Rattus norvegicus: one gene and its partners. The protein of the gene in region 7 purifies or fractionates together with the protein of the main gene of each other region. This does not show direct contact. Links are inferred from orthologs where the notes say so. Each region holds a gene or a part of one and is shown on either strand. Other genes may lie near its edges. The genes, in order: Det1, Trpc4ap, Hdac2, Ezh2, Cops7a, Cops5 and Cul4b.

Region 1 (3,500 bases), on a different chromosome or scaffold from region 7:
AGAGACGCCTTAAGCACATTGTGTGCTAAACCGCCTGGACAAGTTGTATCCACGCAGGGCACTGCGGATGAACAAATGAAAAGTCAGACAGACATTCCCATTTCCTTTCCATAAATGTTCTTTCAGCCAAGAGCTTTTGTAAGGTACATTTGAGATTTCTGCCAATTAGGATGGGGGGGCAGGGACCTGAAAAGCATTCAAATGCCATAGGTGGCAGTCACCATTTTTCCTGAATGGAGGGACCCCTGGGCGACTGGGCCTTTTCCTTGACACCTTGAGTGCTCTGCCTTGCCTAACAGGAAGGAAGCTCTAGGTACCTTGAGGGTTTTTTTGTCACAGTGAACACTACAGTGTGAACTAAATCTGCAAGCTTCCAGCAGGAGTCTAAGATGTCCGGGACTCACGGATTCGCATTTCACCTTCCTTTGATTGAGTTTTAATCTGTTACCCATCTCTGCAGCCATTTGGCCCACCTGTCTCGTAGTAATTAGTCCTCCCCAGAGCTCCTCTTACATGACTTTGCAGTCACCTGGAAATTAAATTTGGCTGCAAATTAAAGTGGCTGGAGACAACCTGAGAACAATACCCATAATATTACCGAGGCTTTGTCTATGGATGTAGTTCTTACTCATTAACCTTATTGGAACTTATCAAATGAAACTGGAAGGGGAGACAAGAGGACAACTGGAGCGTGGAGACTGGTTTCGAGTTTCCAACTCCAGCAGCATGCCCAGTTATAGCTGACTGCAACTACCAGGAAAAAATAGGTCACCTTTTAGCAAAAGAAAAAAAAAGGATAATCTCAGCACTGTGATAACAGACAACTTATTCCTTCCAAAATAGAAAGGTAATTATAGCTGAAACCTAAATAAAAGAGTGACTCATGTCCCATCTATAGACCAGGACACCACTTTGATCATATCAGGGTTTTAACAGGATCTTTCATAATTATGCGAATATAAAATTTCACAAACATTTACCAGCTTTCCCTCTACGGCAGACTGGGAAATTAAGGACAGGAGGGGAGAGAAGTCAAGGCCTCTACCACCTATCTTCCATGACGCAGAAGATGAACTAGATGTTCACCTGTGGTGGCTCAGCAACACCACCCATCATTAACAAGGAAGAAAGAGATTTTTAAAAATATACTCGAGAAAAAAAGAAAAAAAAAAAAAAAAAAAAAACTCCTTGAAAGGGGTTGGGGATTTAGCTCAGTGGTAGAGCGCTTGCCTAGCAAGCGCAAGGCCTTGGGTTCGGTCCCCAGCTCCGAAAAAAAAAAAAAGAAAAAAAAATATATACTCGAGTCTGATCACTTTCCCCTTTTTAGAATACATAAGCTGTGATTATTTTTGGGGGGGTTGCTGTTGGAAGATATTTTACCACAGGTTTGGTAATGTATGTTTCTTATGCATATGTGGTACATGTGTGTATGTGTATGTTGTGTGTGTACTTTATGTGCCAAACCTGGCTGGCACATGGTCTTCCAGCACTGTCTGTCGCAGTCATTAAGTCACTAAGGTAAGTGTCTTTCCCCTGAAGCCACGGCTTGCTGGTGAGTCAGCTCACTCTTGGGATTGTCTCCTTCTCCTGCACTCTGGAATTACAGAAGGCCACCACACCCATCTGGCATTTACAATGGTTCTGGGAATCCAAACTCCCCTCATGCTTGCAAGAAAGATGCCTAAACCACTCGGTCAACCCCCAACACTGTCTAGAATCCCTTAAAGGCAGAGTCAGCTGACTTCCTAGATTACTATCTGCCTCACTGCTGTTTCTAAAGCAGGAGGATTGACTGGGGGCAAGCAAGGTACAGAAAGGTGGGCCTCTTACTCAGACCACACTTAGTGCAGAGCTTTCAAAGATTCCCAGAAGGTATCTGAACTCAGCTCGGGTCTGTCTGTCTGTCCCTCTTGTCACCACTTATCCTCCTTTAACTTTTTAAGTCAAGGTCTCATAACACAGTCAGGTCTGGAACTCACTGCCCTCAAATCCAAGCTCTCTTTGCCTCCAGTCCCACTGCTGGGATTGTCGGCATTATGGAAGTATGCCTACCATCATACCTAGAGTCCTCAGTGCCAGGGACTCTGAGCCTCATATCCTGAATAAGCTCTCTACCACCCGTCCCTGAGGACTTCCATTTTTGCATGGAGGGCTCATTCTTGCTGCCAGAACCTTTTTGGTTCAATAATCAGTCTTACAAAGTTTAGGAAGGATTATAAATGTGTGGTCCAAACCCCGGCCTTACAGCATTTGGGCTCCTGTATGACAGGTACTGAGAATGTCCTGAGGAATGACTGAGATCATAACCACATGGCAGTGGCTTGACGCTGACCCTCCTCCATTGGCCAATTTCAATATGTGATGCCAGACAAAAAGGAACTGACTTTAAATCTGAACCCAAGCATAGCAAAAACCGGCACCATTTCTGATACACACGGGGCACAGGCAGGAGACCTCATCCCGTACCTGAGATGGGTCTGTGACCCGCAGCGTCACTACGTCCTCGCTGGTGTACTTGATGAACAGGTGGTTCTCATCCAGAAGCTGCATCTTCCACATGCGCAGCTGCCGCAGCTGGTCAAAGTACTGGAAGAAACGTCTCTTCGCCATGGCGCTACCGTCTTGCTCTGCCCTGCGCCAGAGGTAAACCAGCAACCGGTGCTTCAAGGAGTTGATGAAAGGGTCCCTGAAAGGGTTGGCCATGCCTGTCTGGCTGTCCCGCTGCACCTCGGGGAAAACGGCAGACACAGTGAGCAGGTCATCCTCGTAGCAGAAGCGGCCAATGGTCCGAACGTCAATAAACGTGCCTTCAGGAGTCACCTGGAAGACATGAATGGTCTGCTGCTGCACAGACAATATGGCCAGGATGTTCTTGTATAGGTACAGCCCTTGATTGTGTGACAGGACCACCTTGTCACACTTGAATGTGCGTGTGTCACACAAACGGCCAGTGTGAAGGTCGATGATGTGGAGGGAATAGTCTTCGAGAGGGGACCGTGGGTTAGGGGTCACCGACTCACTGTTCCGATAGACCTCATAGAAAGGAGGGTGAGGTTCGTCTGGAAGGTAGGCAGCGGAGCCCACGATGACACAGCGGCAGTCGTCCGTGAAGAGGCTACACTCCCGGTTCAAGTGCTCGCCATTGGCCGCTACATTGGTAATGTGCAGCAGGACAAAAAAACGTTCAAAGAGCCGGCCTCGGATGCTGACCGACCTCTGGTCATTACCATTGGACAAGATCTCCCCTTCATATCCCTGCAAGAGGTCCTCTGCTGCCTGACAGCCCTGGTACTCGTAGATTTCAAGAGATGTCTGGTCAGACGAAAAAGCAATAAAGTAGCGCCCGTCAGGCGAGAATTTACGCAAGAAACAAGGAGGCTTTTCAACGTTGACAACCGTGAAGTTGGGGAAGACATTCTGGTGGAAGACTCGGACCTGATGCCAGTGGGTCCCTGCCCTGCCTGAACTGATGCGCCGGCGCTCTAAGCGGTGGATGACGT
Region 2 (4,090 bases), on a different chromosome or scaffold from region 7:
GGGTTCAGGGGACCCAACAACTTAGGTCTCCGACAGTCTTGGCAGCCGGTGCCTCTACGCACTGACTTAGCTCTCCAGATCCTATTTTATTTGCTTTAAACTAGGCAACCTGGCAGTGATCTGCTGGAGGTGGGAGGGAGCCACACCTTGTAAGTGAGCATGAAGATGACAACCGCAGTCTAGTTGGCCTTGGCAGTGCTCATAAACTGTTGTTCCGCTGCAATTACTACATCATTCCACTCTTTAAAGACTTCTGGTTTGGGCAACAAATTGTATCCACCTTAGTTACAAGTAGCAAACTTCAAGGCATCCTAATTTGACACACTCAACTCTTCTCATTCTGTTACAAGATTACCTCCTAGAAGAGAAAGTGGAGAGAGAGAGAGAGAGAGAGAGAGAGAGAGAGAGAGAGAGAGAGAGAGTCTGCACAACCCTGCTACAGAGGTTTGTCCAAGCATGTGAATTCAGTTCTACTTGTGGGGAAAATTAGGGCAATGTTCTACTTCATAGGGGATCAGTTTGCCAATCCTGTCTCCTTGCGTTATTCCATTGAACATCATGGCTGTCATTGAACGACATAGACAATTGCTTTTATTTGTGTGGATTTGCTGTGGTCCCCTGAAATCCTCATTCCCTAACAGGGTCCTCTGCGTTTCTACTTGTCACCTCACCCTCCACCTCACCTGTCTATTCAGTGTGAGGAGTACAGCTGGTGCCTTTAGAAACTATTGACATCTGTAAATGAAAAATTTTTTTTGCCATTTTCTTCGAATAAGCCATAGCACATTGATGGTCCTTTATGTATCATTTACATAAAACATATTTGTTAATTCTAATAAAATATTAGTTGACTGATCCGGCTCCCAGGGCCTAAATATTGAATGGACTAAGGGCTAGGGGTAAAGTGCAGTGACTTGGCTAAAGTCAGTTGTAAACGGAAGAGGACATCTGTCAAGTGTCAACTCTGGCCTAGGGCCTAGAATCCTTCCCTGGCCACTGGGCTGCATCATTTCCCACTAGACGAAAAATTTGAGACCTTGTGCACGCAGCGACTGACCGGTCATCCACTTGGAGCAACCTCGTAGAAATGCTGGAAGTGGGACGTGGGAGAAAAATAAGTGGGTGGTCCAGGAAGAGCAGCATCTCCGCTACCTGCCCACCCTCCGCAAAGACTACAATTCCCATAAGGCCTTGGGGCACGTACAGCCCTTGCCACGCGGCTTGCACCTCCGCGTCAGTCCACTGGGGGCGATATAGAGTCCTCCGCCGCCCCGTAGAAATCGACGCGGCTTCGGGACCGCTTGCTTCCTGTTTGTCGGACGAGGAGACATGGCGGCAGCGCCCGCAGCGGCTGGAGCTGGGGCCAGCCGGGGGAGGCGGTCGGCCGCTACCGCGGCGGCGTGGGGCGGCTGGGGAGGTCGGCCGCGACCGGGTAACATCCTGCTGCAGCTGCGGCAGGGCCAGCTCACCGGCCGAGGCCTGGTCCGAGCGGTGCAGGTACGAGGCCGGCCCGGAGGGGCGGGGCGGGGCGGGCCAGGCTGGAGCTGGCCAGGGGCCGGGGAAGAGGCCTTTCCAGGCCGCTGCGGGACCGGCCAGATCCCCCTTGGCTGGCCGCGGCGCTGTCCTGTGTGCCGTCCGGACGCTGTCAGCCACGGTGGGACGAGGGGCAGCGGCCAGCTCGGAGGCCTGCGGGTCTGGGCCGAGTGGGATCGGACTGCCTGGGGTATTGATGGCGCGTATAATAAGCCCTGGGCCGAGTTTCTAGATCCTCATTTCCCTGCGCCACGTCTGCGTGTCTGGAGGACCTTGGCGAGTTGGCTTCATCTTCTACTGGTCTCGTGTTTGCCCCTTGTAAGCAGGTCGGGGTCCTCTTCACTGCAGCACCCCCGCCCCCCCAAACGGTTCCCAAGCCTATCATAAATGTCATCTTCTCAGAGGCCTCAACGTTCCTCCTCCTTTTCTAAAGTAGGCCCCCGTTGTTATTCTATCAGATCACCCAATTCCTTTTCTGTTGCACTATTTTCTTAGCCTGTAATTGCATATTTCTTTGTTGTCTGCCCTTTTCACGCCTTTCTCCCACATTAGGCTGAACTCCAACGGGTGCAGAAGACTGTTTTACTAACGTAGGGATACATGCTTTGGGGGAAGAACTTTAGTTCAAAGCCCTGTTCTCTTTCTTGCTTCGACAAGTTACCTTTTCAGGGCCGTAGTTTCCTTCTCTGATTCACCCTTTAAGGTTATTGTTAAATTCAGAGGAGATAGTCGTGTCAAGTGTTAGGGTATTTCAGGTGCATGTAAGGGCTGAAGGGTCATCAGTTATTGCTATATTTAATGCCTAGCTCATCTTTACACCAATTGATGTCCTATACATGTGGTGTTGGGGTGTATGTATGTCTGTTGAGGGGTATAGGACACAACCTTAGAATAAAGCAGGATAGATGACTTCTTTCACTTTTTCTTCGTTCTCCCAGGTGGACCCAGAAAACATTAGCTTAATTTCAAGATAGCTTTGTATATCGTTTTGAGGGATATATAAAGGACCAAACAGTATTGATGGGAGAGGGACAGGAATTAGGTGAGCAGATGAGGGAATAGGTATGAGATTTTTCTTAACATACCACTACATATTTAAAGTTAATTTCGATCCGTTTGACTATTACCCAATGAACTGAAGAGATAAAGGTGAGATGGTCTGTATTTGTGTAGGGTCACAGATGAAGAGGCACTTTGGGGTAGCCATATTTTTCTATAGAAACTGTAGATGAGCAGTCTTTTCTTCATTGTATTCCTCTGCATCTGCCTTAGAAGATGTGAGAAATACTTACTCTGTCCTTGAAGCCAAAATACCTCACTGAGTCGAGTAGTATGTCAGGACAGGCAGAAAGGGGACTCACTATCCTTTAAAGATTAGTCAGTGTGCAGGGTGTTGGCTTTTTTTGAAATTGAGTTTACTTTTGAGACAGGCTCTCACTATGTAGGTATATGACTGGCCTTGATTAGATGAGGCTGGCCTTGAACTTGTGACAGTCGTTCTGCCTCTGCCCTCTTAGTGCAGGGATTACAGGTATTCTACCACACCCAGCAATCTTCAATAGTCTGAGCTATATGTTGAATCCATCTCTTAACACAGACGAGGAAACCGAGGCTTACCAAGGTTAGGCAGTGATTCCTAACTTCCCTGCAGATGATCACTAAGAGCTGTGAGCCATGGAAGTTCTTTAACATGCTGAGTGAGGCAACTTTGGAGAACGATTTGCCTCCAGTGCTGGAATGCTAGGGAACTGGATTAGAAGGTTACTAAAATATTCTTGGAGCCTTTGGCTGTTCATCGTGGCCCCCATTATTACTCTGTAAATCCCTAAAGTTTGCTTACCTTCTTAGTCTGTGATTGCATATTTCTTTGGTAGTTTTGTAAAGGTGTGAGAGCTATTTCAGAGATTGGATTAGAACTCCTGTCTCCCAAATTCTAGTGATAACGAAGTGGAGACCTTCACATCTCATGGTTGTCTTTCTCAGCAGAGTTCTTCAGTGTTTTTTTTTTTATTCTCTCTCTCTCCCGATACGCAGAATAAATTATTTGCTCACCCATATTTTCATAGCACAGTACGCATATTGGTTATGGCATATGGCAGACAGGAAAGTGCCAAGTTTTTAAAAAACTTTGGAGGGGGCGGTGGAGTTGGGAAGAAAACAAATTTATTAGGTGCACTGTGAGGGGCAGCAGGCTGGGCAGTAACAAGAGCACCACCTACCTAAGGACATCTTTTAAATAAAAAATACATATAACAGCTGATCATCACAACTGTTTGAAACTATAGGATCAGTAGTGTTTACTAGTCTCATACTGATGCATACCAGGTCTCTAGAACTTTCTCAGTTTATAAACCTGAAACCGTATCTATCCACTGAGCAACTCTTCAGGCCCCTCCCCAGATACCCACCCTTCTCCTTTGTCTTGCTGTAAGTACGACTAATGCCCTGAAGGTTTATCTGAGTAATACCATATGGTAGACTTTCCTTGGGAAAGACTGGATTTTGCAGTAAAATGGGCCTGAATTGAATCCTAGTTCCAGCCTTTTTAGCCAGTGCC
Region 3 (3,500 bases), on a different chromosome or scaffold from region 7:
TCCCCAGGTGTGTTGTCACCCCCACTCCAAGGTGTATGCTACCCCCACTGCCCAAGTGTGTGCCACCCCTACTCCCCAATTTCCGATGATTCAAGAATAAAATCAAACTAAGACTATTTTATAATATGACAGGTCTGTGACAGTCAAATTTCCATATCCATAAACACCTTTTACAGCTGGATGAGCACATTTACCTATTTGCACATCATCTATAGTATCCTTTGCCCTATACTTAAGACCTTATGACTGTGACAGATCACAAGTGGCCTCATCATTCCCTAATGATCTGTACGCCACCAATCACAGCAACAACCCAAATGAACTTCTGGAATCACGCCACCATAGGATGACATGACATTAGTTCCATACCTATGTCAAAGTGCCAACAGAAAAAAAAACTATGCATTAAAAACCAAAGCCACTGGTGTTAGAAAGCTGGCCTTAAGTTAAGAGCACTGATACTCTCCTAGAGAATCCAGGTTAAATTCCCAGCACCCACATGGTGACTCACAACCGTCCCATCACACCAGCGCCTGGGGATCTCGTGGTCTCCTCTGGCCTCCATGGGCACAGCACAAATGTGGTGCATTGACACACATGCTGGGAAAACAGCAACACATATAAAATTTGAATTTACTGTTTAAGGTGTCACTGCAGCTGACTTAAAATGTTTTATTTATTATCAAAAGATGCCGTGGCTGTGCTCATACAGTGTAAGCTGGCATTATCAACCCAGGCATTTATGCTCTCAAGGCACAGAAAAGCAACACCAAGAAAACTAAAAAACTGCAAAAAGTGGGCTTTATCATAGCAGAATCTCTTCATAAAGTTAAAAATCAAATATGATCAAAGTGGCCAATGTGTTTGGATGAGCAAAGAAAGCTATTTAACAAACCCAATTTAATTATGTTCAATTTTACCAGGTAAAGAAACATACAGAATTAAGCTTGCTCAGGACTAAGCTTAAAAAAAAAAAAAAAAAAAAAAAAAAAAAAAAAAAAAAAAAAAAAAAGGCAACAAATTGCTCAGAGTTACGCCAGTGGAATAAGTGAATAATGGTGACTTCAGGGATCTGTTGGTTGTTGGTTTGGGTGTTTGTTTATGGTCACTAAGGTCACTGCTGGAATGTACAAGTGGAGCAAGAGCGTCATTGTCAAAGCCTACAGAACACAAAACGCAGCCAAAGCTATAAACTACAACTCACTCCTATGACAGCGCCCAGGGGCAGTAATCTCACTCTGAGTGTCCACACTCCTAAGGGTAACTTCCAACACCCCTTCAGCAACTGGGCATCACTGTGTCCATGTATTCACGTGTATCTGTGTCTGTATAGCGGACGGAGCCATACTGGATGAGGGATCTGGGGTCAGCCAGGGTACTAAATGGCTAGACAAACTTCTATAACACAGGTTTCAAAGTTTTGTCTTCAAGTTACTTTAGCGTTCACATTTCTGGAGTCCTAGCAGCCATCTTTATTAGCTCACACTACTGCAAGCCTAAATCCACGGAGGCCATTTAGGGGAACTCTCAGGCGCTCTCTCATACTTCTGCGGTGGCTCCCAACGGGCCCTGTGAGACTCCACTAATGCATTAACATTTATTTCCTATTCTCTAAAGGTCTGATGACAGTTTTGGGAAACTGAGTTTGCATTAGCGTACTTCAGTAGCTCGAGGACAGCAAGCACAATGTCATTAACGTAGCAGAATCCTGAGGCCTCTGACTTCTTGGCGTGGTGCAGTCCTCCCGCCCAGTTGACAGCCATGTCAGTCTGTTGACGGTTCAGCTTCACGGCCCCAGCTAAGAAAGAGATACACGTTACGGTATCTACAGCGTATTTAAAGTTTACCTGTAAGCGAAGCCTCATTAAATATGCCATCTGAAGCAGAAAAGGTTTGACATTCAAAAGCAAAGGATTATAATTTAGGAGCTTAAACTTTCCTCAGATAACTATTTTCCTACAGTTTACCCAACTAAATTGCAGTACACATAGAAAATCGTGGTTAAAAATGGCAGAAGAAAAAAAGAAGGAAAAAAGTCTCTGGAGGAAAAAAAAACACAACTTAAAAACTGTTTGAGTATTGACTGTTAAACATTTGACATTTTAAAGATGATTATACTTGCTACTTTGAACCTGAAATGCCTAAGAACCCCACGGAACAAGTCACCCGTGTGCCATCAGAGAGTGATGGACTAAGGGCTGAGGCCGGACTTTAGTTCACTGGAGGTCTGATCTTGCTTAGAAGAGATTCTGGAATGCTCTTTTCTCTACTCAACAGCCATGGGGTACCCCCAGCCCCATGCACATACCATAATGTGCTATCACGGTCCCAAAGGACAGGGCCATTTAAGCCCCCAAACCAAAATAAACCACTCTTTTAAAAGTTGTCTCAGGTTTTGCTACATTAACAGAAGAGTGAATCGCAGTATCATAACCATCTATGCCTCTAATCTCAATCAGTGAGGCTAAGGAAGAGGACTTCCACAGTACCAAGGCCAGCCTGGACTCCACAGTAAGCTGCAAGCCAGCCTGGGCTCCTGGGTGACACTGTTTCAAACACAGAACAAAGCGAAACAACAAACTCATCCCCACTAAGGTGCAGTGACAGCACATGTCCGTAAGCAAGCACTGGGGAGGTGGCCAGAGGATGGGGAGTCTGAGGCCACCTGGGTGACAGCCTAGTGACAGCAGAATCAAGCAAGCAAAGCTCACTACCATTACGACCTGCTGCTTTAGACAGAAACTACAGACACCGTAACCCTTCAGATCCTCGTCAAGTCACTGACTCGGGATACTCACCAACTGAGCCACCGGTGGAGAGCTGACAAAACTCAAAGAGTCCATCGAACACTGGACAGTCTTCTCCGACATTAACTGTGGAAGGTGAAGTCCATTAAGGCCAACCTATTATCAAGCCATTGAAGGCTTTTTCTTATAAACTATTAAAAATAGTCATTTCAGGCAATTATAGGCAGTAATATAATATTCCATGACAGTAATATAAAATTTGTAATTTTAAAACATTACCTATGAATTTTAAAATTCACAGGGAGTAATACCAAAAAACTAATTTTACAAAATAATGTTTACTTTATTCAAGATAATTAAATTGTTATCTATGTAATACCATTACCTAATCTTACGTGAATATTTGTGAATTAACTGTACCCAACCACCACCACCACTAACAAAAGTCCATATTAAAGTAAAAATCGACATGAATCTGGTTTTCTTCTTACGCGACAGTGAATTAGTTAAACACTGAAGATGAAGAGGCTGCAACTCCTTTCTAACTCACTCACAGCCCCTCCCAGACTCTGAAGTGCATTTTAGTATCAAAACATTAACAGTTACTTTGTTTTTTTCTGTGGCTGAAACTAACTTTAGAAGAGGCTATGAATTAATCAGTTTCATGGAACAAAGATACAAAGGAAGGGCGCATAAGACGGATGACCCGTCACTCGTCATGGCGCGGTTGACTTCCTGTGGTAAGAGGCATGG
Region 4 (3,500 bases), on a different chromosome or scaffold from region 7:
GTTCATAAATGGCAGTAATATTGCTCTGAGCTGAGAACTGCCTCACTACAATCATTCATTATAAAACAGCCTTGTCAAGTGTGAAGACCTTCACTTCAAGTTACTGGGAAGCAGTGAATGGAATGAAATGAGTACAAAAGATGTCAGAGGAATCCTCAAAGAAGAAAACAGTCACAGTACGGGGTGTGACATATTTCTCAGCCTTCACTATAAGACTGGTCGGTATATTTTGGTTGTGACAACTGACATCAAGTTGCTTTACTACATATTTCAACAACAAAGATAGAAAATGAAAACGTACAATAATTGCACTTACGATGTAGGAAGCAGTCATACTTAAAACATCGTCGACAAAAGAGCGTATGAAATGAATGTAAACTTTGCTCCCTCTGAACAGATTTGGCATTTGGTCCATCGATGTTTGGGGTACATTCAGGAGGTAGAGCACCGGGGAGCTGCTGCTCCGTGAGTTCTTTATACCTGACACCAGACAAACAAACAAACATCACTTTTTTGCACAGTGAGTTTCTAAAAGGTTTTCATGGGTTTGATTTTTTTTTTAAGTTTATATTATCTAAAAGTCAACCACAAAAAAAATCTAACCTACAGTAATCTTTACTTGCATTAAGAACCAATCGTGTATTATGCATGGGAAATAAGAATCAAGCTCATTAATACAACTGAGGTATGTAGCAGAAGAGGTTATTACATTAGTTTGGATTAACTATAAATCTCTACCAGCGTCCAGAAAAGGTTTCCTCAATATATTAGTATAAACTGTACATAGGCATAGAATATGCATGAATACTCATATATGTACTCAATATGAACTAAAAATTTTCTAATACACAGTAAAGTATGTGTGTGTGTGTGTGTATGTGTGTGAGAGACAGAGAGAGAGAATGCTTGAAATAATAAATCAAGAGATGATAACATGCACAACTGCCCCAAATTAAAAAAAAAGAAAAATTCCTACTCACTTTTCTTTCAGTTCTTCTGCTGTGCCCTTATCTGGAAACATTGAGGAAATGGCTTCAAATATTTTATCAGCAGGAAATTTCCGAGGTGGGCAAGTTTCTTTATCTAAACAGTGAATTGTGATAGGGGGAGATGGAAGAAACAAGTTTCAGCTTCATTTTCTCTCTATCACTGTGTCTCAACAAAGCTGATGTTCTAACAACTTGTCAACTTTGGTTCACTTTTGTGGAGGTTGGAGAGGAGGGAGTAAGACAAGATCTCTTACTGTGTAGCCTTCCTTAGTTGGCCTGCAACTAAGTAGACCAGGTTGACTTCGAAGCTTTAATAATTACTTTATTATTTTTTAAGGTGTGCATGTATGTATGCTTATGTGCACCTCCCTGAGTGAAGACACATGGGTGTGCACACCATTGTGCACATGTGAGGGTCAGGGAAGAACTTTTGTGGGTCAGTGCTCTCCTATGGTGAAATTAAGAAATTCAAATCAGGTCATCAAGACTTGCTTGGGGGCTGGAGAGATGGCTCAGAGATTAAAAGCACTGACTGCTTTTCTAGAGGTCCCGAGTTCAACTCCCAGCAACCACATGGTGGCTCACAACCATCTGTAATGGGAACTGATGCCCTCTTTTGATGTGTTTGAAGACTGCTACAGTGTACTCACATACATAAAATAAATAAATAATTCTTAAAGAAAGAAAAAGACTTGCTCAGCAAGCACTCTTACCCACTGATTCACCTCGATAGCCAACTTTTCTATTCTATTGTCTCTGACTCCCAAGTTCGAGAATGACAAGGATGACTCACTATCACTGGCTTGGGGGTTTTGTCCTATTTTGTAAGACAGGTTTGCCTAGTTTAGCCCAAGATAGCATAAAACTCATTACAAAGCCAGGGATAACCTTGAACTTCAGACTCTCCTGCCTTCGCTCAGATTACAGGTGCTGAGATTACAGGCATCACCAAACCCTCTATCAGTTATTTCTTATGGAAAAGCTTGTCAAGATGCTAAGAGTACAAGAAGACAGATTCCCCCAAATTTTGATTATTTGACACTAATAGTTTTCTGTCAGAGCTGATCATTAATCCACCTTCAGAACTGTCCATCACATGGAAGAACTTAGCAATCACTTACTGACTCCGGTGTGTTTCTGTTATAAAGAATACATGTCTTTTGAAATTGCAATTTTCTCCTAATTCTGCTTGATAGTAAGCTTGCTAAGTAGAAGACAGAATTATGGGCTCTACTTTGGGGTAGACTGTTTTCTAGGAACACTTAACAAGTGTAGAGGCAATAGCACAATTCTCGAGTCAGACTTATGTTATCAATTTGGGGCTCAGATTCAACTTTTTCCCAATATTGCAATCTTAACTAAGTCCCATAGTCTTCAGCTTCTCTAAAGCCATTTCTAATATATAATAAAGCTGTTAATATGCCATAAATCATTATTATTATTATAAAGATAATTATGATAACTGATCAGCAAAGTCCAAAAACACATGTCCTTTTGCTAGGCACAGGAAACGAAGAAGCTCTATAGAGAATGAAATGCTGCAGAGAATACATTTGATCATACTGCTAAGATAGAACACTTAACAAAAAGGGGAGAGTTACATTCTACCCCAAAATGGGTGGTTTTTACATTTATTTACATATATCATATGGTTGTATGTCTGCCACAGTGTACTGGTGTGAAGATCAGGGGCAACTTAGGAGAGTCAGTTCTTCTCTTCCACAGAGTGGGTTCCAGGAATCTCGATTCACCAAGCACCTTTACCGACCTGATCTTACCAGCCTGGTACTTTTATTTTAAAAGAAGAATTATATAAGGCTCAAACAAAAAACTAGTATTAAACATACCATCTCGACTATCGTCTAGATCTTTCTGTTTTTCTTCTCTTTCATCAGGATCGTCTCCATCATCATCATCGTCATCATCATTATATTGACCAAGAGCATTTACCAACTCCACAAAAATTTCATCATTTATAAATCCACATTCTAAAATCCAAATGTCAGAAACAGGGAAAAGGATAATGACAAAAGTCTTTGTATGCATTTTCTTTTTCTTTTCTTTCTCTCTTTCTTTCTCTTTCTTTCTTTCTTTCTTTTTTTTTTTTTTTTTTTTTTTTTTTGTATGCATTTTCTAATCTGGAAGAATAGCGAAGGCCTATCAGCACTGTAACCGGAGGGGCAGGTAAGGACAGTCAAAATCAATTTCACAGCCAGCAAAGAAAACAGCATTTTCCTTCAGTATCCGTTGCTTTCTCAGAAATCACCCCTCTCCAGCTGGTCCAGGGCACATTACTCCCTTAATCATTGAGGACCTGTGGCTTTAACCTCCTCCCAATCTGTGTCACTGACTGACCACTTCAAACCTGTTTTCCACTATAATATGACCACAGCTCCCTTTGCTCAGATATCAAAAGAGCCTCCTGTACACAGAAACCTGAATCCAAGATTCTGATAACTTAATTTCACAGGCTCTGGCTGCCCTGAGGAAGGGCATTGTTGAACAGGGAGG
Region 5 (4,212 bases), on a different chromosome or scaffold from region 7:
GTCTTGAACTTTCAATTCCCCTGCCTTAGTCTACTGAGTAATGGGATTACAGATTATGAAACAGTAAGTCTGGCTTTACCTTAATTTGCCCCTTAAATGGTTTCTGTAAGTATTTTTGTTTTGTTTCATTTTGAGACATGGTCTCACTAAGTAGTTCTGGCTATACCATAATTCCCTATGCATAAGATGCTGGATGATTTAACTCAGAAATCCACCCAATTAAAGGTGTGTACCACCATGCAATTTAAAGTATTCTAAGACAGGGTCTCTCACACTGTAGCACAGGCTACCCTCCCAACTAATAGCAATCCTCCTGCCTCAGTCTCCTGGCTGTTGGGATTACAAATAACCAGCTGAATCCTTTAACTTTTAAATTTCCTCACCTGCCTAGGTTCTACTTACACTTTTCTCCTGTTGAGATTCAAGTATTAAAACCAGAACGATTAGGTGTAGTAATCCTTCTGGTTTTAATCGGCCAAAAGTCTGGTCACGTGGTCTGAAATTCCAACGGAAGAAAACCTCAAAAGCCTGACCAATACACTTCCCTTTCCCCTTAATCATTTGGGGGTTTGTTTTGTTTTTTCCAGACCGGTTCTCAAGTAGCCCAGACTGGCTTGGTATTTGCTATGTATTTTTTGCTTCGTTTTTTTTTTTTTTTTTTTTTTTGATTCTTTTTTTTCCGGAGCTGGGAACTGAACCCAGGCCCTTGCGCTTCCTAGGCAAGCGCTCTACCACTGAGCTAAATCCCCAACCCCCTGGGGCTGGTTTTGAACTCCCGATCCTACCTCTATTTCCAAAACACAGGGAAGCGGTGTGGGTCACCACTCCCTGCCCCCTTGCATTTTAAACTTTTATTCTGCTCTTTAAAAAACATGAGTGGTTGAACTACCTAAATTATCTACCGTTGAATTCTAGCCACGTTTGTCTACTTTTTATTCTGCTCTTTGAAAAACATGAGTGGTTGAACTACCTAAATTATCTACCGTTGAAACTCTAGCCATGTTTGTCTCCTATTTTTAGTTTCTGCATCTTCTCGTCTTCCACTAACGCTCATGCGGCCGGAGGAACTTGGCGCTGCCCTCCTCCCCTCTCCTGCAGCTACCGGGCGGTTCATCTACCCAGGACCTCCACGGAGCCAGGATTTTCTCTACACCCGGCATCCACCGCTCCCGCACCAATAAAGCTTTATCGACAGAGCGGAAGCTAGGTGTCGCTCTCTCACCTCCTTCGGTCGGGAAACGGAAGCAGGCCATAGCCGGCCGGAACCCGCCTCTCGAGAGCGGAAGTGCGGCCGGAAACTGGCCATAGAAGCGCGTGGCTAGAGCGACCCTGCGGGGAGGTGGCAGGAAAGGCTGGGAGCCGCTGCCGGAGGTGACGGAGCGGCCGCCCCGCCCCGCGCGCTGGAAGACGAGGCTTCCAGGTAGCGGTCGGTCGCAGTCTGTCCCAGGGTACGACCCGGCCTTGGGCACAGATTCGCGGACCCGGGGCTGCCTCTTTAAGGGAGGGGGTGGAGCCACGAGTGAGGATCGAAAAGGTGAGGTCACGTGGTTGAGGACACGTGCAAGACACGAGTTTAGAGCTGGGAGTTCGTCGTCGTTGGGGTAGACACCATGTGCCACCTCTTCCCTCCCTTCCTCATCTGTCCTGGAACTCAATGGGATGCACGTGGTGGGGCTTGGGACTGCCCCGATGGAGGAGAGGGTGGGCGTGGCAGCCAGGATGTGGCCGACTTTAAGGAACCCTAGAGTTGGCTTTTAGACTTCTTGACCTAATTGCACACTGCAGAAGTGACGTGGTACCTCTTGAGTGCAGTTCCCCACCCTTGAGCTGACCACCCTCACGTGGTTCAGGGACCTTTAGTTTTACGTTCCTCTTTCCTTGCAGCTCCAGAAAACTTGAGGCCAGAGCCCCGCACCAGGGTGCAGCCATGAGTGCGGAGGTGAAGGTGACAGGGCAGAACCAGGAGCAATTTCTGCTCCTTGCCAAGTCGGCTAAGGGGGCAGCACTGGCCACACTCATCCACCAGGTGCTGGAGGCCCCTGGTGTCTACGTGTTTGGGGAACTGCTGGATATGCCTAATGTTAGAGAGGTGTGTTGCTTGCCTGGGTAATTCAAAAAGAACCTCGGGACCAAAGTTTCCTTGAGAATGGTGGGCTCATTTTGTAACCAATAGCCACTCAGGTGAACAGGGTATTGATAATTAGATGTCAGCTTGGAAAAGTAAGCAGTCAAAAAAAGGTCTTCATTTCCTGTATCTCTTACAGAAAAGGGGTCTGTAAACTTACTGCTCCCTTCCTCTGTACCCACAATTTCAGTCAGGGTTTCACTGCGTAGTCCTGGCTGCACTAAACTGGTAATCGTCATCTGGGCTGGCCTTGAATGCTTGAGAATCTTCTTGACTATGCCTCATGCAGAAGTTAAAAAAAAAATTTTTTTTTTATTTAAAAATGTGGAACGCTTTATAAATTTGAGGTCATCTTTGCCCAGGGACCATGCTAATCTTCTCTGGATCGTTCTAGTTTTAGTATATGTGCTGCTGAAGGAAACACAGATTTTAAATTTTTAAACAAAAGAACATGTCATACACAATACCACTCATAAATGCCAGCTCGTCCACCAGTATGATATCTTTACTGTTGTTATTGATGTTGTTGTTTTTCGAGACAGGGTTTCTCTGTGTACTATAACTTGTGTTCTGGAACTCTCTGTGTGTTCAACTCAGAGATCCACCTCCGGAGTGCTGGGATTGAAGATTTGTGCCTATTGATACCTCTTAATAATCCTGTCACCATCATTTGGGAGGTAGAAACAGGTGGATCTCTGAGTTAGAGGCCAGCTTGGTCTACAGACTTGAGTTCCAGGACAGCCCCTGTTACACAGAGAAACCGTGTCTTAAAAACAAAACAACAAATCTTGTCACCTGGATCAGAAAAACCTAATTAAGTCTCAGTTTTCCCTTAAAAAATGGTGATGAGAACCTTGAAACAGCTGATAGAGTGGTTGCCTAGCATTTGTGAGGCCTTGGCTTCCATTTCAGAACTTGGGATGCTAAGGTAGGGCACCACAAATTTTAGACCAGCCTCTGCAACTTAGACCCCATCTCAAAAAAGGAGTAGGGATGTACTCAGTGAAAGAGCCCTTGTTTGTCGTATGCATGGCTCAGTATAGGTACAGTTCTCACAACTCCAATGAGGGAAAAACCGAAAAAAACACTACCTGGGCTGGAGAGATGGCTCAGCGGTTAAGAGCACTGACTGCTCTTCCAGAGGTCCTGAGTTCAATTTCCATCAACCACAAGGTGGCTCACAACCATCTGTAATGGGGTCTGATGCCCTCTTCTGGTGTGTCTGAAGACAGCTACAGTGTATACATATACATAAAGTAAATGATAATAAGAAAAAAAGCACTTCCCTTCACAGTTACAGTAGTAACTGTGGGAAAGTCTGGAGTCTCCTAAAATCAGAGAGAATGGGCATTTGAGTTATGCCATGGTAAATCCCACCCCCACCCCTACCCCACCCCCAGGTAGATGGTGAAGATGCTGTCTTCCCTAAGACAGTGGCAAACTGCTATGAACACAGTGACGAGAACATTCAGGGAAATGGCTGAGTCAAGAACGTTAAAAGTGGGGTTGGGAATTTAGCTCAGTGGTAGAGCGCTTGCCTAGGAAGCGCAAGGCCCTGGGTTCGGTCCCCAGCTCCGGAAAAAAAAAAAAAAAGAAAAAAAAAAAGAAAAAAAGAACGTTAAAAGTATAGAGCAGATGGATGGCCAATCCTGGGACACCAGCCTGTCATGAGAGTGACAGTAGTGTGTGGCTAGACTGAGCCAGGCATTAGAAGACCCGTGGTGGAATCAGAGGATAGAATGTTTTTTGGGACTGCTGTTTCACAAGAAACTGGCTTTTGTCCCTGATTTTCTCTACAGTGAACTAAAGTATGTCCTTAAGATGAGGTAGAAGGAGCATTTCCAGCTTGTGTTCCAGTGAAAGAGATCGGATAAATGGATAAAACAATACAAGTCAGCAATTTATCAGTAACTTACTTCGAAGGCCACAGCTCTGGGTCCTTGGAGGCTAGCAGATGCTGGGTCTATAGCCTTGTTAAAACATTGTTGGGGCTGGGGATTTAGCTCAGTGGTAGAGCGCTTACCTAGGAAGCGCAAGGCCCTGGGTTCGGTCCCCAGCTCCGAAAAAAAGAACCAAAAAAAAAAAAA
Region 6 (4,181 bases), on a different chromosome or scaffold from region 7:
ACTGTGACCGAGAGCCTTACTTAACGTGCAATTTCAGAACAGTTTCTGTGAGAATAAATACATTCTGAAGGGATTTATAGGGATTGAAAGGGAGTGTGGAACGTGGAGGAAAAAGAAAGCAGTAAGTACAAGGTGCCTGGAAATACCATGTCATGTGTCTTTGGCTCAGACATAAAGAGTCTGAAATAAATTTTAAATATACTATTGAAATGAGGGAATAATGATCAACTCCACAGGTCTTTTTCCTCAATCAACATGGAATTATTATACCTGGTTACCTTCTTAGGCCTAACTTTCTGACCTTAATTTACTGAGTTATTAATTAAATAATTTATTTATTTATTATCTGTGGTACATGTTTATTAGTGTGCCACCTGTGGAGATGACAGAGGCTGTCAGGGGTCTTTCACTACCTTTTTTTTTTGGTTTCGTTGAGACCAGGTTTTTGGTATAACCCTGGCTGTTCAGTAGACCAGGCTGTCCTTGGAACTTGATCACCCACCTCTGCTGTGATTAAATTCAGGTGTCAACATGCCCAGCTCATTTTCGTCTGTTATTACTTCATTCCCTCGAGACAGAGTCTCTTACTGAAAGCTTACTGTTGTGGCTAGGCTGGCTGACTAGCTCACAGACCGTCCTCTCTGCTTTCTTTCCATATAATGCTAAAAGGTAGCATATTCACACATGGATTTTTACATAGATGCTGGATTTAAACCTTAGGTCTGCATGCAAAACTAAGTACTCTTACCCACTGAGCCAGAGGACTTAGTTTCTACAAATGTGGCTTCTGAAACTGACTTGCTTAGGTCTCTAAATTACACTGACACCCCCTAACTGAGAGAGTAGGGCCACTTAATGTCTATGCCAGATCACATATCTATAAATAGATATTTCATCTATTAGTATGAAAAGTACACCGTAAATGCTTAGCTTAGTCCCAGAAACACTAAAATCTAAGGTACTGCTACCAGTCTTATTAACCCGCTTTTTTTTTTTTTTTTGGTTCTTTTTTTCGGAGCTGGGGATCGAACTATTAACCCGCTTTTTAAGATATTCTCAAAGAAACAGCTTGTTAGCTTATGGCTTCCTTCTGATAGCATCTTGGGAATTAGAGTAGAGCTAGTATCCTTACTTCTGTGACTAACTATTGTACATGATTAAACTCTTGAACATTTTAAAATCACGGCTGTATCCTGCATGTTAGAATAAACTTAAGTATAGCCACAGATGGTGAGGAAGTCAAGAGTTTACATCCATCTAAAACGTGCAGCTTGCTTAAGGGACAGCCAAGAAATCTGCACAGGTCACTCAGTGTCACCACGGCTTGTTGGATGCAAGCAACCAAGTACAGATCCCAGCTTTTGCTAGATTTCAACCACAAGCTGAAAGTGGCTGAGATCATCTTGGAAATCAAGACATAAATTTAAAAATTGGCTCCTCCACCTACTTGGGAAAAAGAGAAAAACAAACCACTACTATGCTCTTATTATATATGGTTCTTCCAGAACTTTTTAATAAATTATCTTTTTAATAAATTCATGATATTCGTAATAGCTATGTTTAACCATTATCTTATAGATAAGTTTAGATACTTTACTTTTCTAATGCCAGTCAACCGTTTAAGTGACAGTTATGAGACTTGATTCTCAGTCTACTGCACCTAAGTTCACTGCTATAGTATAATCATGAATGTATTTGCTTATTTTCCTATTTACAGAAAGGGAAAGAAAGTACAGTACTGGATTGCCCTGATTATTAAATGACATAAAAATCATCAGACCAGTGCCAGGCCCACAGTAGTAACTCAAAAAACCCTGAAAATAGAATCCTGACAGCTAAAACCAGCTTTGCCAACAAAACAAAACACCTGGAAACAGCAAGGCAGTTTACATAGCAACCTTTTGCAATGTTTTTCTTCACTCTCCTTAACATGATTTGCTCTAAAGAATCTTTTGACTTGTCGTGGGCCCCAAAGATACATGGATTTGGCTGGGGGGCAAATAGCCTCTAAGCTCTATTTTATAAATCCTGAATTGTTGCAGTAGTATTTTAGAGAACTGGTAAGAGGATTTGGTATGTCTTTAAAAAAGTTACAGAGGAAAAGAGTGATAAAAAAGAAATCACCCCAAGGGCTCATTTTTGTTTTTTAGATCAATGCCCTGCTCATTCGATTTCTGAAAACAGTCACGCTCTTCAGTTTGAGATCCACTGAAGGCTGCAACCAACTGCATGTAGCCAGCCACCAGGTTCAGGGGAGAATGTGTGAAATTTACGAAAATAATCATTTTGAGAAAGTAGCACCCTAAGTCATCCCTTTACACCCCCTGGAGGTAAGAAACTTTCTAAAAGGGGTATCGAAGCAGGCCCTAGAAATAAGGGGAATCGAAGTCTCTACTGATAAGGTAGAATAAAACCACGGCGGCCAGTATTCTGTCGACGCCCCTCAGAAAGCCAAATTCTCCACCCACTTCATTTTCCACCCCTCGAGGGTCTCTCTCACAGTCCCTCCATCCCTTCCCTCCCCTGCGTCTCGCCAGGGACCTCCTCACTCCTTAGTCCAGGGTTTCGCCGCCAGGATTTCTTGTTGTTGTTTTTTGTCATATTTGTAGATTTCATCGATACTCTGCGCTTCCTGCATGTTGTTGGCCAATTCCCAGGTCTTCTGGGCCATACCACTCCCGGAAGCTGTCATGGCCGAGGGACCGGAGAAGCTGTAGTCTCCACAACCAAGATGCAACTTTATTCTACTGGGCCTCAGCGTGCGGGCTTTGCACCTTCCCCACCACGGGTGCACACTCACTAGACTCTCAAGGCAGCCATGACACTTGAGACCGGAGGTGACGTTGGTCCAGACCATTCGCGCGTCGGGGCGCGGCGGCGGCGTAGCGACATAGAAAACACTTCCTAGGGGTCCGCTCGGCTCGGCTAATAATAGTTTTGCGAACGAAACGAGGACATGCTGGCTCTGAAATCCGTACGTGTGAACTGGGAGGGACGCAAAGTCTCTGTGTGGGAATGGTACGGCCTTTCGCGCCGGAAGGCGGGCCTGTTGACCTGCCAGGAAGGAGTCGGCCGTCTCGCCTCGCACTGCGCAGACTCAGATTCCGCCATATTGCGTGTGGGAGGGAACTTCGGTTTGGGGAACTATGTTTATGTGAGTGTAGGTGCTTCAAACGAAATAAATTGTTTGGAATACTAAATGTCTCTAGAGAAACAGAGGTGTAAGTATCTCCGGATTATTGGTTTTGGAGGGGGAAGATTATGTGACATTGTCTTTTAAGATAATTCGCGGAGTATAAACCCCTCCGGGGTTTGTGGGTGGCGTTTCGCTTTTGTGTTTTCGCTACTGTTGCGAGGTGGCAAGCAAAACTCACCGGTTGCTAAGATTAACTTTTGACGCGTTTATAGGGTAACATTTATACAAGTGTTAGGAGATGTGAATGCCTTACCCGCTACTTGTTAAAAAAGGTTTGTCTCAGTGCAGAATTAATCTCCGCAATCCGTTCTTTCCGGTAGTTAATATGAAATTTGTTTCAGTCGTGTTTTTAGGTTTTCTTCCCTCTCATTCTCATCCCCAAATGCCCACTAGAGTGTAAGTTGAAGGCGTGCATAAAATCTGTTTGTTTTATTTAATTCTAATATATTTAATTATTTTCGTAACACGGTTCTTACAGACTTCTCCAGCTTCATCATCTTTTAGCCACCCTGACCCAGCTTTTTAATTAGAACTTTTTCCTTGATTTAGTAATGCAGTAGTTGTTAAGCATTGCTTTAAATGCACTTCTTGACATTTCTGCTTTAGAGCACACAGTATTTAAAAAGCACAGTCGAGATGCCTTCCATTAACTCTTTGACAATAACTGCTCCTTCCACAGGATCTCGAAGGCTCTATAGTTGCTTCACACGGACGTTTTGCTTTTTCCCAGTAAGCTTTGTGTTGTATCCTTTTTTTTTTTTTTTTTCTCACCCCCTCTCCCCCGGCCATGGAAGGTCTTTTGCTGTTCAGGAACTCGATATGTAGACCAGGCTGGCCTCGAGAGATCTGCCTGCTTCTGCCTCTTGAGTGCTGGGATTAAAGGCATGTACCACCCTTGCCGGGCTGTATCCTCTTCTAATGCAGGTTTTTAGCAGACAAATTAGCTAAAAAAGAATTGCTAACTATTCACCACTACTGTTGGTTT
Region 7 (3,500 bases):
TCATATTCCAGGTGGCTAGTTCTATCAATGCCAAGTAAGTTGTCCAAATAGGTTATTTCTTTTATGTCAGTCAATCGATCTTACCTATTGAATTTTACAGCTCACCAGTGAAAGCTACAACCAAACATTTCATGCTTGCTACCCACACTAGCCCCTCCCATTTTCAAGTCTTTCCTCATACTATTTCCTTTATTTCATATGCCTTCTCTCCAATCAAAATTTTAAGGCCCAAATCAAGTCCTACTTCCTTCCACAATCATTATTCGCTTCACTTCACTCTCAACCACACTTCTTGTTAACACTACATACTGGTACTTACTAATTTGGAAATATTAAGAGCACAGAGGAGGGGGCTGGAGAGACATCTCACCACTGAAGAGTAGTGTCTTGTCTTTCACAGGACCAGAGGTCATTCCTAGAACCTAACAAGATGACTCACAAACAACTAACTCAAGTTCCAGGGGATACAATGCCCCCTTCTTTACCCCACATATTCCTGCACATTGTATGGTATACATATATACACAGGCAACAAACAAAAGAAATAAATGAATCTTTTTAAAAAATGTACAGAGGGGAAGATTATTTCCTTATATGTTTAGAGCTCTAATCACAGTGACTACACAGAATAGAGAACTACAATTTCTTGATACTGGACAGACACAATACAAACCTATTCCAGTGGCTTGCTTTATCTCCTCTAAACTGAACTCCTCTCCTTCATTAAACATTAGTAGCACCAGGGTTTGAAAAAGAGAGACCTGAAGTTCTTTTTTGCCCTGTTGGAGAAAAAGCAGAGGTTTTTTTTTTTTTTTTGCCTGTTTTTTTAAACATGAAAAATTAATCAAAAAGTAGTATCTTATAGGAAAACCATTAATTAGTGAGTTAAGCACAGACGAGTAACATTCTCCAAAGTGCTGCTTTACATGGCAATACGATGTGTACTGCAAGATTTAGGTGTGAGTCTACAGAAAACGGGGTGTAGGGTTAGTTAGCCTATTAGTATGTCTTCTATAGTCCTTATTAAAACAGGACAAAGTAATGAAAATAAGTCAGCCCTATGTGTCATTATAGACATTCACCATAAGCAGCAAGAAATTACTACCCTAAATGCATTTTTCAAGACAGGGTTTAGAAACCCAAGCTAGACTTCCTTTGTAGACAAATATGTACTTGAACTCCAATCTTCCTGCCTCTATCTCCCAAGTGGTAGGATTACAGTCCCATGTTACTATGCTCCACTTTCAAATATACTTTGACTTGATTCAGATCATTCATGAACAGATGCAGATTTTTCCCAATGGATATTGTTTACCTATATCACTCACTCGGTTCTCTAGCTTCTAGCCACATGATTTCTGATAAGACAGTATGAACTCTGAATCCACAGGGAAAAGAGAAAGGGGGGGTCAATTTTAGATGAGGGCTAAGTCAACTGCTGAAAAGGTAACCATCTTAAATACAAAGTTGCAATATGCTAAGCAGAGTCAAGGATACACTTATAAAACAGCAGCTTGACCCTGCAAACCAAGGGATAAGCCATATTAAAGATGAAGACAGAACTCAAGATTTAAAAATATCCACTTACCTCTTTAAATTCAGCTTTTAGCACACAGTGTCCCAAGGTTGATTGCCATTGAAGTTTCCTGCCACTGTGCTTGCCTAAGTAAAATGTCTTGAAAATTTCCTGAAGCTTCACCATCTAAAGCAAATGAATTGTTACTTTATGTTGCATATGCAATGCCACCCTTAGCACGGTTTTTTAAAAACTATTTGTTGAATGTATGAAGTGGTGTGTGCATGCCATTCTGGGCTAATAAAGGTCAGAGGACAATTTTTGGGAGTCAGTTACCTCTTTCCACTATGTGGGTTCAGGAAGTTAACTAGGAGGTTAAGCTTGGTGGCAGGTCCTTCACCCCTAGGCCACCTCAATGACCTCCCTTCTCAATACTTTAACATCATCTGGAATAGCTTTTGATAGTTTTCAGGACTATATTCAGTAGTTACCAATCCCTTTAATGTACGGTGAAAATCTAACTAGCCAATGCAACATCGCTTGGTGATCTTCACACTCATTGATCTTTTCTGCCCTGTTATTTAATCATCCCTTCACTCTGGTGATTTGGGTTTCTACACTATACTGACTCCTTTCTCTTACTGCTGCTTCTGCCCACATTTCTTTACAGGTTCCTCTTTTTACCATCTGCTAAATGTGAGCCTTTTCTAAAGTTGAAGCTTTGCCCTTTCTCTTCCTCTTCACCATATTCTTCCCTTATTGAGGGAAATCTACTTTCTGGGCACCCATGATTCTTTCCATAGACGCTTAGTACTTTTCTTTATTCAATATTCTAGGTTTTGGTCCTGAGTAGGACAGTTCCCAAGGCATGAAGGGATACTCATGTATCCATTACATCCACCAATCCTGCCTTCAGGTGGAATATATGGGCAAGATTTTTTAACAGCTGGCAAGACTAAGGGGTCATAAGCAATGAAACAGAATAATTGGGGAAAACAGCACTAAATTTAGAAATGTAGTTAAAAAATGAAGTAAAGAATAAAATATTAGCGCTCATACTTTGTTGCTATATTTGTTGACATAAACCTTTAAAAGTCACAGATTTTCAAATGAAAAGCAGAAAAAAATGTAATTTCTATGCATATAGCTTAGTTTTAAAATGGTTTATCTTACCTCTGGTGGCAAATGGACTTCCATAGGCACATATGTTGGCCAATAACCCATTGTCAGGATATTAACAGTTAATTCAATATTGCCAGGTACATTCTGGTTCTGCATATACTGTAAGATCAACACATACACCAAGATTATGAAAGTTTATATACCATACATAATACAAATTTCCTTTATATAAAAATATATGTAGATACTGACCATCCTGAAAATAAAAACAATTATTTAAACTTGAAATGAATACTACACAAAATGCAGTAGAAAAATACACAGGTGGCCATTTTGATAGTGGCATTCAAAAACCCCACGAAAATATCCTAGGTATTAAAAACTCAACTTCTCACACACAATTGGGCTGTTATAGCATCTCGTCTCCATTCTTTTCCCCCAATGCTACCTTTAATCCCCACCTTCAGAGACCCTACATGGATCGGAACATCTTGTAGCAACTCCCATTCCTCACCCCACTAGCCAGCCCAAGTCTCTGGTTTTTCAAAATGCTTCACTCCCTGTTTGAAGGTGGTGACCTGAAGTAGGAAAGGAAAAGGGGAAAGGGCAAGGCAAATAAATCCTATTCTGTGCCTACTGTAAGATCTATGATCCTACTAAGTCTGAACGTCGAGTCTTTTGGTTCTATTTACCACCTTCAATATAGTAGTCAAGAAGTCATTACTGAACCCTTGAGTAAAATCTAATTTGCCATCACTATTGCCTAGTTGGTATTGCTGCTGCTGTTTGAGACAGGATCTCACTATATTGCCCAAATATTATTTCAGCATCCTAAGCAGTTGAGGCCGCAGTTACACAAACT

The links.
Region 1: the proteins of Cul4b (region 7) and Det1 purify together in Homo sapiens (affinity purification with mass spectrometry; 3 studies listed by BioGRID and IntAct, counting the BioPlex papers as one, with this or other methods). This does not show direct contact. The link is inferred for Rattus norvegicus from reciprocal best matches to the Homo sapiens genes CUL4B and DET1.
Region 2: the proteins of Cul4b (region 7) and Trpc4ap purify together in Homo sapiens (affinity purification with mass spectrometry; 4 studies listed by BioGRID and IntAct, counting the BioPlex papers as one, with this or other methods). This does not show direct contact. The link is inferred for Rattus norvegicus from reciprocal best matches to the Homo sapiens genes CUL4B and TRPC4AP.
Region 3: the proteins of Cul4b (region 7) and Hdac2 purify together in Homo sapiens (affinity purification with western blotting; 3 studies listed by BioGRID, with this or other methods). This does not show direct contact. The link is inferred for Rattus norvegicus from reciprocal best matches to the Homo sapiens genes CUL4B and HDAC2.
Region 4: the proteins of Cul4b (region 7) and Ezh2 purify together in Homo sapiens (affinity purification with mass spectrometry; 4 studies listed by BioGRID and IntAct, with this or other methods). This does not show direct contact. The link is inferred for Rattus norvegicus from reciprocal best matches to the Homo sapiens genes CUL4B and EZH2.
Region 5: the proteins of Cul4b (region 7) and Cops7a purify together in Homo sapiens (affinity purification with mass spectrometry; 6 studies listed by BioGRID and IntAct, with this or other methods). This does not show direct contact. The link is inferred for Rattus norvegicus from reciprocal best matches to the Homo sapiens genes CUL4B and COPS7A.
Region 6: the proteins of Cul4b (region 7) and Cops5 purify together in Homo sapiens (affinity purification with mass spectrometry; 12 studies listed by BioGRID and IntAct, counting the BioPlex papers as one, with this or other methods). This does not show direct contact. The link is inferred for Rattus norvegicus from reciprocal best matches to the Homo sapiens genes CUL4B and COPS5.

The regions. Positions count from the first base shown.
Region 1 is NC_086019.1:142,168,834-142,172,333, forward strand, and holds part of Det1 (DET1 homolog), read right to left. Parts: coding exon 2,467-3,500; intron 1-2,466. UniProt on the Homo sapiens protein: Component of the E3 ubiquitin ligase DCX DET1-COP1 complex, which is required for ubiquitination and subsequent degradation of target proteins. The complex is involved in JUN ubiquitination and degradation.
Region 2 is NC_086021.1:164,650,324-164,654,413, reverse strand, and holds the start of Trpc4ap (short transient receptor potential channel 4-associated protein), read left to right. Parts: upstream 1-1,290; 5' UTR 1,291-1,329; coding exon 1,330-1,497; intron 1,498-4,090. UniProt on the Homo sapiens protein: Substrate-recognition component of a DCX (DDB1-CUL4-X-box) E3 ubiquitin-protein ligase complex required for cell cycle control.
Region 3 is NC_086038.1:42,113,127-42,116,626, reverse strand, and holds part of Hdac2 (histone deacetylase 2), read right to left. Parts: intron 2,874-3,500; coding exon 2,799-2,873; intron 1,799-2,798; coding exon 1,660-1,798; intron 1-1,659. UniProt on the Homo sapiens protein: Histone deacetylase that catalyzes the deacetylation of lysine residues on the N-terminal part of the core histones (H2A, H2B, H3 and H4).
Region 4 is NC_086022.1:77,642,184-77,645,683, forward strand, and holds part of Ezh2 (histone-lysine N-methyltransferase EZH2), read right to left. Parts: intron 2,978-3,500; coding exon 2,837-2,977; intron 1,084-2,836; coding exon 981-1,083; intron 481-980; coding exon 317-480; coding exon of another isoform or gene 302-316; intron 1-301. UniProt on the Homo sapiens protein: Polycomb group (PcG) protein. Catalytic subunit of the PRC2/EED-EZH2 complex, which methylates 'Lys-9' (H3K9me) and 'Lys-27' (H3K27me) of histone H3, leading to transcriptional repression of the affected target gene.
Region 5 is NC_086022.1:159,457,374-159,461,585, reverse strand, and holds the start of Cops7a (COP9 signalosome complex subunit 7a), read left to right. Parts: upstream 1-1,412; 5' UTR 1,413-1,534; intron 1,535-1,555; exon of another isoform or gene 1,556-1,654; coding exon of another isoform or gene 1,655-1,668; intron 1,669-1,884; coding exon of another isoform or gene 1,885-1,927; coding exon 1,928-2,089; intron 2,090-2,443; exon of another isoform or gene 2,444-2,549; intron 2,550-4,212.
Region 6 is NC_086023.1:13,973,957-13,978,137, reverse strand, and holds the start of Cops5 (COP9 signalosome complex subunit 5), read right to left. Parts: upstream 2,801-4,181; 5' UTR 2,693-2,800; coding exon 2,550-2,692; intron 1-2,549. Other genes in the region: Cspp1 (centrosome and spindle pole-associated protein 1), read left to right, coding at 3,016-3,221. UniProt on the Homo sapiens protein: Probable protease subunit of the COP9 signalosome complex (CSN), a complex involved in various cellular and developmental processes.
Region 7 is NC_086039.1:122,161,300-122,164,799, forward strand, and holds part of Cul4b (cullin-4B), read right to left. Parts: intron 2,798-3,500; coding exon 2,690-2,797; intron 1,703-2,689; coding exon 1,589-1,702; intron 780-1,588; coding exon 674-779; intron 1-673.